Linked DNA regions of Caenorhabditis elegans. The protein of the gene in region 1 interacts with the protein of each later gene in a pairwise test. Each region holds a gene or a part of one and is shown on either strand. Other genes may lie near its edges. The genes, in order: ztf-9 and Y116A8C.20.

Evidence for each region.
Region 2: the proteins of ztf-9 (region 1) and Y116A8C.20 interact in a two-hybrid assay, tested with the Caenorhabditis elegans proteins (one large-scale study listed by BioGRID).

What each region holds. Positions count from the first base shown.
Region 1 is NC_003283.11:9,688,455-9,695,426, reverse strand, and holds ztf-9 (C2H2-type domain-containing protein), read left to right. Parts: upstream 1-3,267; 5' UTR 3,268-3,290; coding exon 3,291-3,400; intron 3,401-3,449; coding exon 3,450-3,537; intron 3,538-3,595; coding exon 3,596-3,827; intron 3,828-3,875; coding exon 3,876-4,279; 3' UTR 4,280-4,388; downstream 4,389-6,972. Other genes in the region: ZK287.7 (RNA_ligase domain-containing protein), read right to left, coding at 741-871, 920-1,070, 1,282-1,418, 1,558-1,772, 1,829-2,358; rbx-1 (RING-box protein 1), read left to right, coding at 4,907-4,981, 5,032-5,238, 5,424-5,474.
Region 2 is NC_003282.8:17,037,751-17,044,099, forward strand, and holds Y116A8C.20 (C3H1-type domain-containing protein), read left to right. Parts: upstream 1-3,167; coding exon 3,168-3,773; downstream 3,774-6,349. Other genes in the region: Y116A8C.19 (C3H1-type domain-containing protein), read right to left, coding at 1,305-1,895.

The DNA.
Region 1 (6,972 bases):
CAAAAATAACTATCTGTTCATCAATATAATTAAGAATTGGAATCAAAAATTACTTGGAAAAAATATATTTAGTGTTTGAAATTTCACGATGACTATGTAGTAATGAAAATGAGAAACTTGTTAATTTTTCAGATACAATGGAAAATAATAGTAAGAAAAAATATTGCAACTGTGAATTAGATACATTCAACATATTTTTTAATCAAATTTATTACGAATTTGCGAACTAGAAATTCTCACGTTTCAAAAATTTTCAATAGAGTAATCTCAAAGAGTCATGCGCCTTTAAAACCAAGTAATACAAGCAAACTCATTTCTCTGAATGTTTTGCCATTTTGATTTGATTTTTTTAAATGTTGTAATTTCTTGATATCCAATATTTCAATTCAAATATTCAACTGCAAGGTTTTCATTTCTAGAAATATCTATTCAAATTATGTCTCCATCAGTACCTGAAAGTTCAAATCCGATGCCAATCGTAATTTCAATACACTGTTTAACGTTTCAAACTGAACCGAGACATCTACCGTAATCCGTAAACCATTGCAACGGGATGAAAGAGAAATTTTTCAAACCCAGGGTGCAACGGCAGCAGTAGAAAGAGAAGAGAAGATGATTGAAAATTTATGGCAGAGCGACGTCAAGAAAAATTGCGTTTTATTAGTTAACAAAGAGCAACAGACAACAACAAAAAACTGACAAGATTTCTTACAATAACTGAACTAATAAAATTTGAGATCCTAAAATACGACATCTCCCGATGTTCGTGATGTTGAAGACGATGAGTCTTCTGAAGGTTTTTCAGATCTATTCATAAAATCTTTATAAGCATGACGAAGACCAAGTAGATCGAGCATTGCTATGAAATGAGCTAAAAATATAGGAAGCTTCAGATTTTGCAAATCAAAAAAGTTTATACCCGGTGGTTTCGCAGCTGCAACGAGACCATGTGCTTCATGACCACCGACGTCTTCGAAAATTGTGTTGTACACGTGGCAATAAATTGGAAGTGAAGTGAGTAGACTTCGATTTGAAGTTTCGAGCGTCGAACAAAGATGAGGTGGGATGAACTGGAATAATAGTCATTTTAGAAAAACATGGCAACTTTCCAGTTTTGTCAAACTTATTTTGCAAATATATGGGGAGTAAAACAGTACAATACAGATTGATTTTGATAGTATTTAAGATATACATTTTTTTAAGATTTAAAAGTTCAATTCTTATTGTAAGATTGAATAAGATTCAAGTTTTTTTCTTTACAAAATAACTTTGGTGACTTACAATTCTATGCCCCATGTTTCCCGCGCTGATAAGTTCAGGAACTCCATCCACGTCGGCCAAACGTCTCCAGTAGATAGTGTCTCCGAGGATCGGACAAGACATCTGAGTTAGCATCAGTCGTGGGAGATGACGAGCAACTGAAGAAATATAATATTCAATACAAAAATAATATGTATTCAAACATTTGTTATCTAAAAACCCAGCGTCGTCGTACTTTTTAATTTGAAATTAAATATACCAAGATGATTTTTTTCGGAAGATTTTTGGTTAATTTACATTTATTTACTGAAAAGTCGATCAATGAAATTCCATTTTTTGTGTCCAGTACTCGATAGCTCATATGTCCTTCTACAGCGTATTTTCCAGTTTTTGCCCGTTTCGTTGTTTTTCTTTCTTCGAAAATGTACTCTTTGTGCTTTCCGACATTCCGAAACGTGGCAAATCCAGTTATGACTCCACTGCTCTTTTCAGGTCTTCCAATTGTGATTGCTCTGAACTTTAAAATAATAAATACTAAAATTAAACTTTAGAAATTGATAAAACTTACAAGGCATTATACATAAAAGGGGGTTCGACATTTGAAGAAGTGCTTCTGATACATTCTTTCAGAATATTGGAATCCTTTTCATTACATGGAAGAACAATTGCACCAGATAAGTATCGTTTTAAGCCTGTACAGAAACTGAGCTGAGGCTCACGGAGCAACTTTCTCAAATCTTTGATACAATCGGAAATTGTTACTCCCATTTGTTCTTGAGTCCTTGCTTTGATTGTACCAGCCCATTTTTCAGTTTTTCTCTCATCTCGAACACTATTCCCAAATACTCCACCATTTTCTTGAAGTTGTCCAACACATGACAATCCATATGGCTTTTCCAACACTACAAATCGACCTGGAGCGTGAGCCAAAACCTTTTTCGATAGGTATCGAGCCAGCTGATTGGGATTTGAAAACGTGGCAGGAGTCAGAGCTTTCTGAACTTTTGGATTTAGTGGAGCCGGTGCAGACTCCAAAGAAGTTGAAGACGCTGTATTACTTGTGAATCGACATGTCGATATTCGTCGCAGTGTGTTCATTTTTCTCTGAAAAATCTTGATTATTTTTTAATTATCAAAATAAAATATAAACCGAGTCTGTAAAATTATAAGACGAAAGGTTTCAGATAAGCTTTAGAATTTTTTACCAAATTAATTATCAGAAAGCGAGAAATTCTTGCTAGGAAAAAATGGTATCTTAATTTTACAAGATTTTGGCATACTTTCTTAAAGGCGCATGGATTGATTTGGACTGGTCTCGATGCGCAAAAAAGTTTATGGTAGCTTCGGCTGCTTTATCGTTTATTTCCCTTACATTTTCCAATGGAAGTACTCTGTTTAAAGCGAATTTCGTGTTTAAAAAAAATGCATATTCCTTAAGAATTGGTTTTAAATAAGTTTTCTAAACAAAAATTTCAACAAAAAAGAGACTGCCATGCATGGTCATGGTATTTGTACCATCAACTTTTTATCTCAAAATTAATTATTTTTCACAAAAATCTGACTCATATCTGTTCTCTCACGTTTTCATTTTTCCAACAGTTTTTCCCACTTTTCTTCCGCCCATCCCGCTCCTTTTTCTTTTTTTCCTATCGCCACAAAAACACACACACACACACAGCAGAGAGAAAGAGATAGGAAGAAGACGAGTCGTCGCATTTTTGTCCTCTCTCTTTCCCTTTCTCTCTCCGTTTCAATGTAGCGCGAACCGAGCGATGAGAAGAAGAAAAAAGAAGAAAGAGGAGAAGAAAGGAAGGAGAAAGGAGGAAGAGACTGGCCATTGCCCGCCCGGCCTTCTTCTCCTCCTCACACACACAAAACCACCCCCTTCTCTCCATTTTCCTTCCTTCTTCTTCTCACCATTCTTTTCCTTTTTCCACGCGTCTTCAGTTGATTTCGAACACATTTTGTTAACCGTTCGCTTCTAAATCTATATTACTAAATTTGCAGAATATATTTATTACATTCAAAAAATGAACCGACTACTGGGATGTCTAGATTGCGTTCAAACTGAGGCCTACAACACACTGGAAGATCTCGAAGCACACATTGCTAGTGATCATCTTAACATATGCCCATATGAGTAAGTCTTTAACTTTTAATATGTGGTGAACGTAGCTTTACTATTTTAGATGCGAAAAATGTAAGTACGCTAAGTTTCCAACGGAATTCGCCCTTGTCAGTCACTGTATGAATGATCATGGACTCACCGAATTTTCTGTAAGTCTCCAATGTTGAGAGACGCAGAAAAAAAATTCAACAATAATTTAAATTGCAGATAAAATATCGCTACACACCGGAGTTGAGTATGAAAAAGAAGGAACTGACCCAAAAGCTCGAACGGTGCATTGCAATGAGTCGATCTATGCGGATTGAAGGGAAAATCAGCGATGCGGTGTCAAGCACAGTGGAGAACAGAGTCAAAGTCGAAAACTCAGAAGCAACTGGCACACCTATTCAGTCATCTTCTCCTGTTGTCTTCGTAGATAATGCTTATCATGCCTTTCTAGGTAAACTTACACATAATAATGATTCCCACTCATTTGGATTTAATTCAGACGAAACTCTGGCACGTCACGAAGAAGAACGTGGAGCCGGTCCTTCATTCGAGGGAGCATCTGATGGCGGTGGTCCGATCAAGCCGAAGCAACAAATTCAATGTTCTCTTTGTGGAGACGTTGTTTCCAAACAAAGATCAAGCATGGTGTATCATGCAAATACGCGTCACGGAAAATATGAGCTCTACGAGTGCGGAATCTGTCACAGAAAATGGCAGACAATTGCAAAATCTGATGTGATCAAGCACATAAAAAGCCATCACGAGAGACCCGACGGAACCATCGACTGCGACATGGTTATTGACTATCGAAAAAATCTAGGAAACAAGCTGAAAGAAATTACTGAAAAATGTTTTCCGGAGCGAAAGAAAAAGAGAATTGGATACACGGATTTGCCAGAATAAATATCTTGAAACGATTTAAAAGTTGTTTTCTCATCGTCCCAATTGTTAGAATTACTGTTAAAATACTAACTGATACGGTTTATTTTTGTTAAATACAATTTTTCTTTTTAACCTGTTCTTCTTTGTTCGTTTCGGCAAGAAATAAGACGCGACGAGTAAATTTTAAAAAGAAAGCGAAAGCGTGAAGACAGAAAATAGGTGAGTACGGTGTACGCAAATGCGCGTAGCGTCTGGTGTGTGCAGACAAGCGTTTTTGATGATTCTTTCGAAAGAATTTCGGCAGTGTTGCTCAGTCTGATTTCATTTTATTTATTTTACAACAGCGTATCTCCTTTTTCAATACATATTAGCAATAATGTCAAGTCCTTCATGTTTCCTCATTTTCTATCGGCGGCTTTGTACAACAATGTTGTATTAGGTTCGTGAATCACTTGTTCTAGGGTACAATTTTTCATAAAATCTGATACAACAATTTTATCAATCATATCCTCTATTTAGTTTAGGCTTATAGTATTATAGTATGCATAAACATGTTCAATATTAAGTATTTCATTATATCATCAATGCTACTTTTGCGCTCTTATTTTGAAATGATTACTGTTATTCTCATTTGTATTTTTTCCAGAAATGGCCCAAGCAAGCGACAGCACAGCTATGGAGGTCGAGGAGGCCACAAATCAGACAGTTAAGAAGCGTTTCGAGGTAACACAGATACAATGTTACATGCTTTAACAAACATAGTGCAATTTAAGGTCAAGAAATGGAGTGCCGTCGCACTTTGGGCCTGGGACATTCAGGTCGACAACTGCGCTATTTGCCGCAATCACATCATGGATCTGTGCATCGAGTGCCAAGCGAATCAAGCAGCCGGGCTCAAGGATGAGTGTACCGTTGCATGGGGAAACTGTAATCACGCTTTCCACTTCCATTGCATTTCTCGTTGGCTGAAGACACGACAGGTAGGTTGCTTTTAAACGTGCTTATTTTTGAAAAAATGATATTTATTCAAATGTCAAAGCGGAACAGAAGCCTGCCGCATGCATTTTTGTTAAACAACTTTTGAAAATTTAATTTTTTTCAATTACTAAGTACTCGTAACTAGCATTTCAAAAAGCTTACACATTTTCTAATTCTATCTTTTCAGGTATGCCCATTGGACAATCGTGAGTGGGAATTCCAAAAGTACGGACACTAATCGATCTTCATTCTTCTGCCAACCGCCCGGGCAGTTTCTTCACACTTTTTTACTTGTATTCACTGATTTTTCTTCTATTTCCTTTTGTGAATATGTATTCGTCCCAAAAAAAAGCACATTAAAATCCAGACGTGTTAGTCTCTATGTGATCTGACACTTTTCATTTGTTTATTCAAATCTCCAATCCCTTCTGACCTTCTAAAATCATCCTTCCTCGCTTGAATATTTAATTTTTCTCCGCTAAAAATATAAATATGAACTGTGTCCTCTGGTCTCATAATTCTCAACGAGACAATTCTCGTGCCGTTTATGTGCTTAGGCTGTTTAGGTTCAGGTTGCGGGCACCGTTCAAGCCGCCGGAGCAAAAGGAGGAGGTCTCGTCTCGCGTAATTTATTTGCAATTCGGCTAAAACGTTCAAAACCGAATTGCAGCACATTTCTCGCCGCTTCTTCGTATTCCTTTCCGTAATAATTGATTATTACGATTGCTTGTTCGTTTCTGTGCCAAAGTTTTTTTTAAATTTTGGATACTGATTTTTGTAGAGTTCTCTCATTAATATAGACCAAGATAATTTTCTGCTTTTAAAACTGTCTACAAACGTTTATTGTTCAATAATCGACGTTGCTAAATTGCGGATATTCTTAACTTCATGAAAAGTGAAGTATCACTTTAAAGGCGCACACTACTTCTCTTGGCTGGGTCCTGCCACGATTTCAGATACAGTAGTTCCTCCGAATGCCAAATTGCACAAAATTGTTCATACATATTTAGAAGTGTTGAAGTTCACAAAGTAGGGCAAAACTCAATGAAAATTATACACATCGGTTTATTTTTTTTAATATAACTGCCACTCGAAAATTTAATTCCCAATACTTCTAGACTGTTTTTTTTTCATTCTGAAGTAACTTAAAACGTTTCTTTAAAAACGAGGTATATTCAGGCCGCTATTGGGCTTTGGGCTTACTTAAACTATATAGTTTATAATCACCTGATATCTCACCGCGATCACACCGTAACCTACCGTACTCTCCAACTTAGCTACATATTTATATATTTTCTGTTATCATCGAAGTGATCAGATCAAACACCAATAGGTCAAAATTTACACCACGGGGATCAGTTACTGTCTGCGAGAAGATTTAATTGGTTTTGCGAGTTGTAACTCGAGATTCTCATGTCGGAACAAGCAAACCGACTCCCCTACCCAATACAGTGTATGTTTGTTGAACGTGTTCCTCGATCCACTCCCCGATTTGGAAATCCCATTTTTTATATCCGAACCGTCCGAATCTGTATTGTAGTGTGGGAATGTAAGACACAAGGCAGCAGTAGAAAACAAGAGTTTGAGAGAAAAAAGAATAGGTGGAGCTGCAGGTAGACCCGATTTTTATTGAACAACTTTTTGATGGAATCCGCTGAATTTCAATTGAAGCCACTTATCCATTCGTTTTTGTTGCAAAATCTCAGTTTCTTTTTTATTTTCTTTCATTTCCAGGA
Region 2 (6,349 bases), on another chromosome or scaffold:
AATCGGTACGTTCGAACCTAATTATTTTAAAAACTTTTTCTGATCTACACCGTTGCTTATCAGAAATTTAAGTGGGATTTGCTTGTAGTTTCCAAAATACTTTTGCAGATGATAGTTATATTCCAAATTACAGCTGAAATAAAGATTGAATGCAGATCAAAATAACCAATAAAATTAAAAAGTAAATACATAGACCCCATGAAACAGAAAAAAATGTGGCTATATTTGCAGCTTTCTAATAGAAATTTTATACGCTCAAAAAGCAGAAATGAGCTAAAAGAATTTCAACAAGATGTGTTAACCTGGGGGTGCGGCAAATTTGCCGAATTTGCCGAGCTCGGCAAAAATTCAGTATTGAGTTATTTTAATATTTAAGCAGACACACTACACGGAACTGATTCAGAAAACAGATGTGTGTTAAAAATTTAGTAGTTTCGGTGCTCCAAAAAACATAAACTGATCGATTGTAATTTGTAAAGCACCATACTTTTCAGCAACATGCAAAGTTTGAGGTATCTTATAGCGTTAGGGATTCGTATTTATTTGAAAAAGTATTGATGAATTATCCACAAGTTTTATTGTTTCCTTTTGAAAAGCTCAATTTTTGCCGAGCACGGCAAATTTCAAAAAAGGAGATTTGCCGAATTGGCCGAGCTCGGCAAATTCGAAAAATTTTCAAATTTTCAACAAAAATATATAGTTCATCCTAATTTCCACATCCTTTCTGTATTTTTAGGGGAACAGTGTATAAGTTTTTTCTCTGTTTCAGGTGTTCAATTTATTTGGTCTTCAGTATGAATGTTTGATATTCAATTCAGTTGGTTTAAGATTTGGACACGATTTTAAAATGCAAGTAGTTGTGGCGGAAAAATAGTGACCAAAAAGCCGTCTTCACAATTGAAACTTTTTCTTGGTCAATGAAATTTTACTTCTACGACGTGCTATCGAACTTGAACCAAAACATTTGTAAACTTTGAAAATTAAATTAAACGCCTGAAACAGAAAAATTTTATGCTCCACCCGTTTTTTTCAAAACTCGTAAGTTCTGAAACTTGACTGACGCAGTGACAGGATGAATTTTGAAAATTATGAGAAGTATTGAAAAATGATAAGTTGAATTTTATTAGTCTGAAAAATAATAAAACAAAAAAAGCCAAATCCAAAAATATGGACATCAGAAAAAAAATATATAAAAAGAGTATAAGATCAAACGGAGAAGAAATTGAAAATTATAAAATCCTCAATTTGAAATATATAAGGAAGTAGTAATTGGTGTTGAATTGTTGGTACAATCAACAGGAAAACTAGTGAAGAAGAGCTGAGCAATGCCAATTGGGCAAGAAACTTGTATAGTCCAGAGCAAATGCACGAGACAGGTCTGATTCAACATTAAGCTTGAAATCCGCCATTTCCGCTGATTCGGTTGTAGAAGTTGAGCCAAGAGCTCTGTGGATGAACTGACACCTGGCTCCGTACTTGCAATACCCGGTTGTCGAGAATTTATCGCAAAGAACTGTTTTATAGTTACGATGAGTTTTCTTTGCCTGTGTGAACCTGAGCTCATGCACACTGTGAGCAAACTTACATTGCTCTCCATAAATACATTTCTGACCTCTTCTTTGAAAACCACACAGAGCTGTCTTGAATGCTTCTTCCTTCTTTTTCAGTCTTTTCATTTCGTCGTGGAGATCGTCAGAAATTGTGCATGAGTCGTATTTTCGTGATTTGTGCTGTTTCATGAGTGGAGAAAACTGATCTCCGTCATAAGATCCTGGAGAAGATGACAGTGAAAGCGATTGAGGAGCAATATTAATAGGAACAGTTCCGTCTGGGAAAGCACATTTCAGAAGGAAACTGGAGAGGGATGTTGTTTGGTTGCTAGATTCCGGAGACATTGTATAAGCAGTTGAGTAGTTGCTGAAAAAATTTATTTGGAAGAAAGAAAACGATAGAAAGATAAAATAATAATAAGAAACAGTAAAAAGAGTGAGAGTCAGAAAATTATTGTGCTAATACAAAAGTTGACTGCAACAAGCAGGTATTATATTCATCATAGTGATCATACCATGTTGCATTATTGAATTGAAAACAGTTTGAAATTTCAGAGAAACCACTTTTTGGAGAATTTAAGCTGATTTAGAAAAGCAGGTCTAAGAAAGTAAGAAAAATGTAACCATTCACGATGAAAGTAAATGAATTGAATGACACAATTGACAGACTGTATTCAGGAAACGGAAGGAACGCTGGAACAGTATCTAATCGATAACATGTATATTTGTTGCAAGCCCCGCCCACTTGCAGGCCACACGCTGTAAAAAGAAGGCGATATGTACAGGGAGGTTTTAGGAATTGGGATGGATGGGATAGTTTTTTGTAATGTAGTTTTTTTTTTGTTGAAAATGAACTTTTGGATACTTGATCCAAAACTCTTTCAAAATAATGTGGAACCCTAAGGGTATGTATGTAATACCTCTTACTCACCTTACCTCTAGCAGAAATATATTGTGAGAAATATTCTACAATTTTTGGAAAATTGTTAATCTTGTTGAAATTTCAATTTGATTATAATTATCTCTATCTAAGTTTTGTGGTTTCTCATTGAGCTAATAAGCGGCTGAAGAGAAGTTTGCAAACAAAGTCAAGTCCCTATTATTTCCTGTTTCATGGAATCTATTTTATAAAACCAAAAGAGCTACTGTGGTCTTAGTACTGTGCTTTGTGGTTTAATTTTTCCACATAAGATTTGACTGAAAATATTTCAAACTAAATCTTTTGAAAGTTAGTAAAGCGGTTATTAATAGTGGTGTCTTGCCAAGTTGCTAAGGAAAAATCGAGCCTGTAAATGGGCGGAGCTTCCCGATCAATAATTGACTCACTACGCTATCGATTGGATCAATTTTCAGCGTTCATGCAGTTGCCTGATGACAGGATGACAATTGTGTCATTCATGCAAACAACTGTCATCCTGAGAAGTTGTTCTTTAGCTTTGCTCTTTTTAGGGATTTTTTTTGTAAAACTTTAGCATATTGTGGATATTTTTTTGTGTTGCTTTTTTACTTTATTTTTGCCTTCAAGTCTTTTTGTCGTTAAAATATAATTTGCGTAATTAATAGTTTTTCCATTCTTTCATTATTCCCATTTTTCAGAAATTATATAAGTTCTTCACAATGTTTGTTCAAACAACCAATCAATCGAATACCCTCTCCAACTTCATTCTGACGTGTGCATTCCCTGCTGGAGCTCCTGTAACCAATTACCCTCCATCCCTTTCACATACATCATCTCCAGGATCTTCCGTATACGAAGCTTCTACGAAAACGGAAGCAGTGCACAAATTGGAGTCATATCAATTACAGGCCAGCAGAGATCCGTGCACAATTCCCGACGAGCTTCGTGAAGAAATGAAGAGAATGAAAAGACAGGAAGGAGCATTCAAGACAGCTCTATGTCTTTCTCACAAACGTGGTAAAACATGCATTTACGGAGAACAATGTAAATTTGCTCACGGTGTTCATGAGCTCAGGTGTCAACAGGCAAAGAAAAACCATCGCAACTACAAAACAGTACTTTGCGATAAATTCACGACAACTGGATATTGCAAGTACGGAATCAGGTGTCAGTTCATCCACAGATCCATGGACGCAACTAATGTAACCAGACCAATAGACACAGCGGATTTCAAGCTTGACGTTCAATCGGACCTCTCTCGTGCATTTGCTCTGGATTCTTCAAGCTTCTTGCCAAATTGGCATTGTTCAGCTCTTCTTAACTAGTTTTCCTGTCGATTGTATCAAAATTTCAAAACCAATTACTATTTCCTTATAGATTTCTAATTGAGGATTTTATATTATTCAATTTCTTCACCATTTTATTTTATACTCTTTTTATATATTCTTTCCTGATGTTCATATTTTTGGATTTGGTTTTTTTTTGGTATATTTATTTTCAGACTAATAAAATGCAATTTTAAATTCTTCAATACTTCTCATAATTTTCAAAATTCTTCCTGTCACTGCGTCAGTCAAGTAACTTACGAGTTTTGAAAAAAAAGTCAGGTTGAACATAAAATTTTTCTGTTTCAGGCGTTTAATTTATTTTTCAAAGTTTACAAATGTTTTGGTTCAAGTTCGATAGCACGTTGTAGAAGTAAAATTTCATTGATCAAGAAAAACTTTCAATTGTGAAGACGGCTTTTTGGCCACTATTTTTCCGCCACAACTACTTGCATTTCAAAAACGTGCTCAAATCTTAAACCTACAGAATTGCATACCAAACATTCATACTGAAGACCAAATAAATTGAACACAACTATTCAGCACTACTCGGCAAATCTCTTGTCCTGGAGCGCGGACGGGGCGCGACTAGATCACGGGTTCGCGCTCCAGTCACCCTTTTTTTCGCGCTCCTTACGCGCCACGTGCGCGCTCCAATCGCGTTTGCTCCGCGCGCATTCCGAATTTGAAAAATTCTTACGAAATTTTATGGGACGCGGTCAGAGCGCCAACGAGGCGCGGAAGGAGCGCGAAAAAACGTGTGACTGGAGCGCGAACTCGTAATCTAGTCGCGCCCCGTCCGCGCTCCAGGAGGAGCGATTTGCGGAGTAGTTCTATTTCTAATCTCTTTTTTTCTCAACCTTATGAACTATTAATATAATTCGTATAATACCTATTTTCATATTTCTTGTAATCTTATCTTGATAATGTTTTCAATTGTTTGATTTCTAATGTGTGGTTTAATAAAATTATTTTTTTCTTAACAATGACATTATCAATCACATTAGTCAGTAAAAATAATTAGTTATTGGAAATTGGTCTTATTGCTGAAATGGTTCTAGATTTCATGCAAATACATTTTTTAAAAAGTTTCTTATAGCGTGGATTAAAGTTTTAGCTACTGTCATGACACAAGTCGTCAGCAATTTTTGTATTGAATGAAAAGTGAAATATTAATTTCAGATTTTAAAATCTGAAGTTAATGTTTTGCTTTTCAAAAGTATTTTAAATATTAACATTCAGACTCAGTTAATGTTTTTAAACTTTTTTATTTGTTCAAATGACTCATTTGAAACAGTAATTAATAGCATGAAAGTTTCCGTCAAAGAACTCATGAAAACAGTAGCTTTTGCTTTTATCGCAAAAATTTGTAATTACACAAAAATGCAAGTTTTACGAGAGTGCTTTACGCAATTCTAATATTTCGAATTCTCTGAGTTATATTAAACTAGAAATAAAAAATATATCAATGATGTAAATTAGAAAAATTCCGTTTCAGGAAGACATATAACTTTTTGTCATTCAGTTACATTTTCTTTTCATTTTTTTTCAATTCTTCCTTTTTTCACTGATATTTTTTTCTAGAATTTTTTCAATTCAATAGATTTTCCAATTTTTACACAGCCGAAAATATATGAAAGTCTGAAATGTATCTCACAACAGCAACCGTTACTACATACTGCATACAAAGTTTATATGGAAATAATAACTCCTACTAGAAACTGCAAATTTTGTTTTAGTTTTTTGATAATTTCTGAATTATTTTTTAAACACTACAAGTTGTTTAACCGAATAGGAAAAAACTGTACTGCATGAAAAATTTCTATAGAATATATAAATCCTTTTAGAAACAGCAATTTTTGATATTGTTCAAATTTCCACAGATACTTCACGGAACCTTTTCTGTGACCATAGTGAAATTATTTAATAATAATTTCGAAAATTGTTTTTTTTTTTCAATACCTACTAAATGAAGTGCTATATTAAACCGGCTGAAAATATAATAAAACAAAATTTGAAACTATATTTTTCGAAATATTTCTGAAATATCGACTTTTTCCCATAGCGCTCATATTGCTTCAGAAAACGCTCAAATATCGATCGGATACTTTTCCAACATTCTAAAAGTTTTTTGAAAGTAGTATAATTATTGTGTCATTCATTTATGCACCTTGTTATCGGTCTCGATTTTTTTCAGGTTTAGTATAATTTAAAAACAATTTTCCACTTCTTATTTTGCCCAAAATTAATAAAAACGAAAACGAAAAAAAAAAACCAACTAATACAATTGTATCTAATATGAATTATCAACTATGAAAAACCGTAAGTGTTTTTTTAAATGTTTTATTCAATTTCTATTCAGAGTAATAATTATGTAACAGTATAACAAATATTTTCCAATCAATTGGCTTACTGAAAAACTTAAGACATGCATAATGGTAGTGTCAATTGTGATCTACTTATAACAATTCTGTGAAACATTGGAAAATTATTCGCGCTTTTCTTATTTTTTTCAACTTTTCATACCTCACTCTCTACCATTTATTAAAACAAATCAATTTCCAGAAATCACTAAT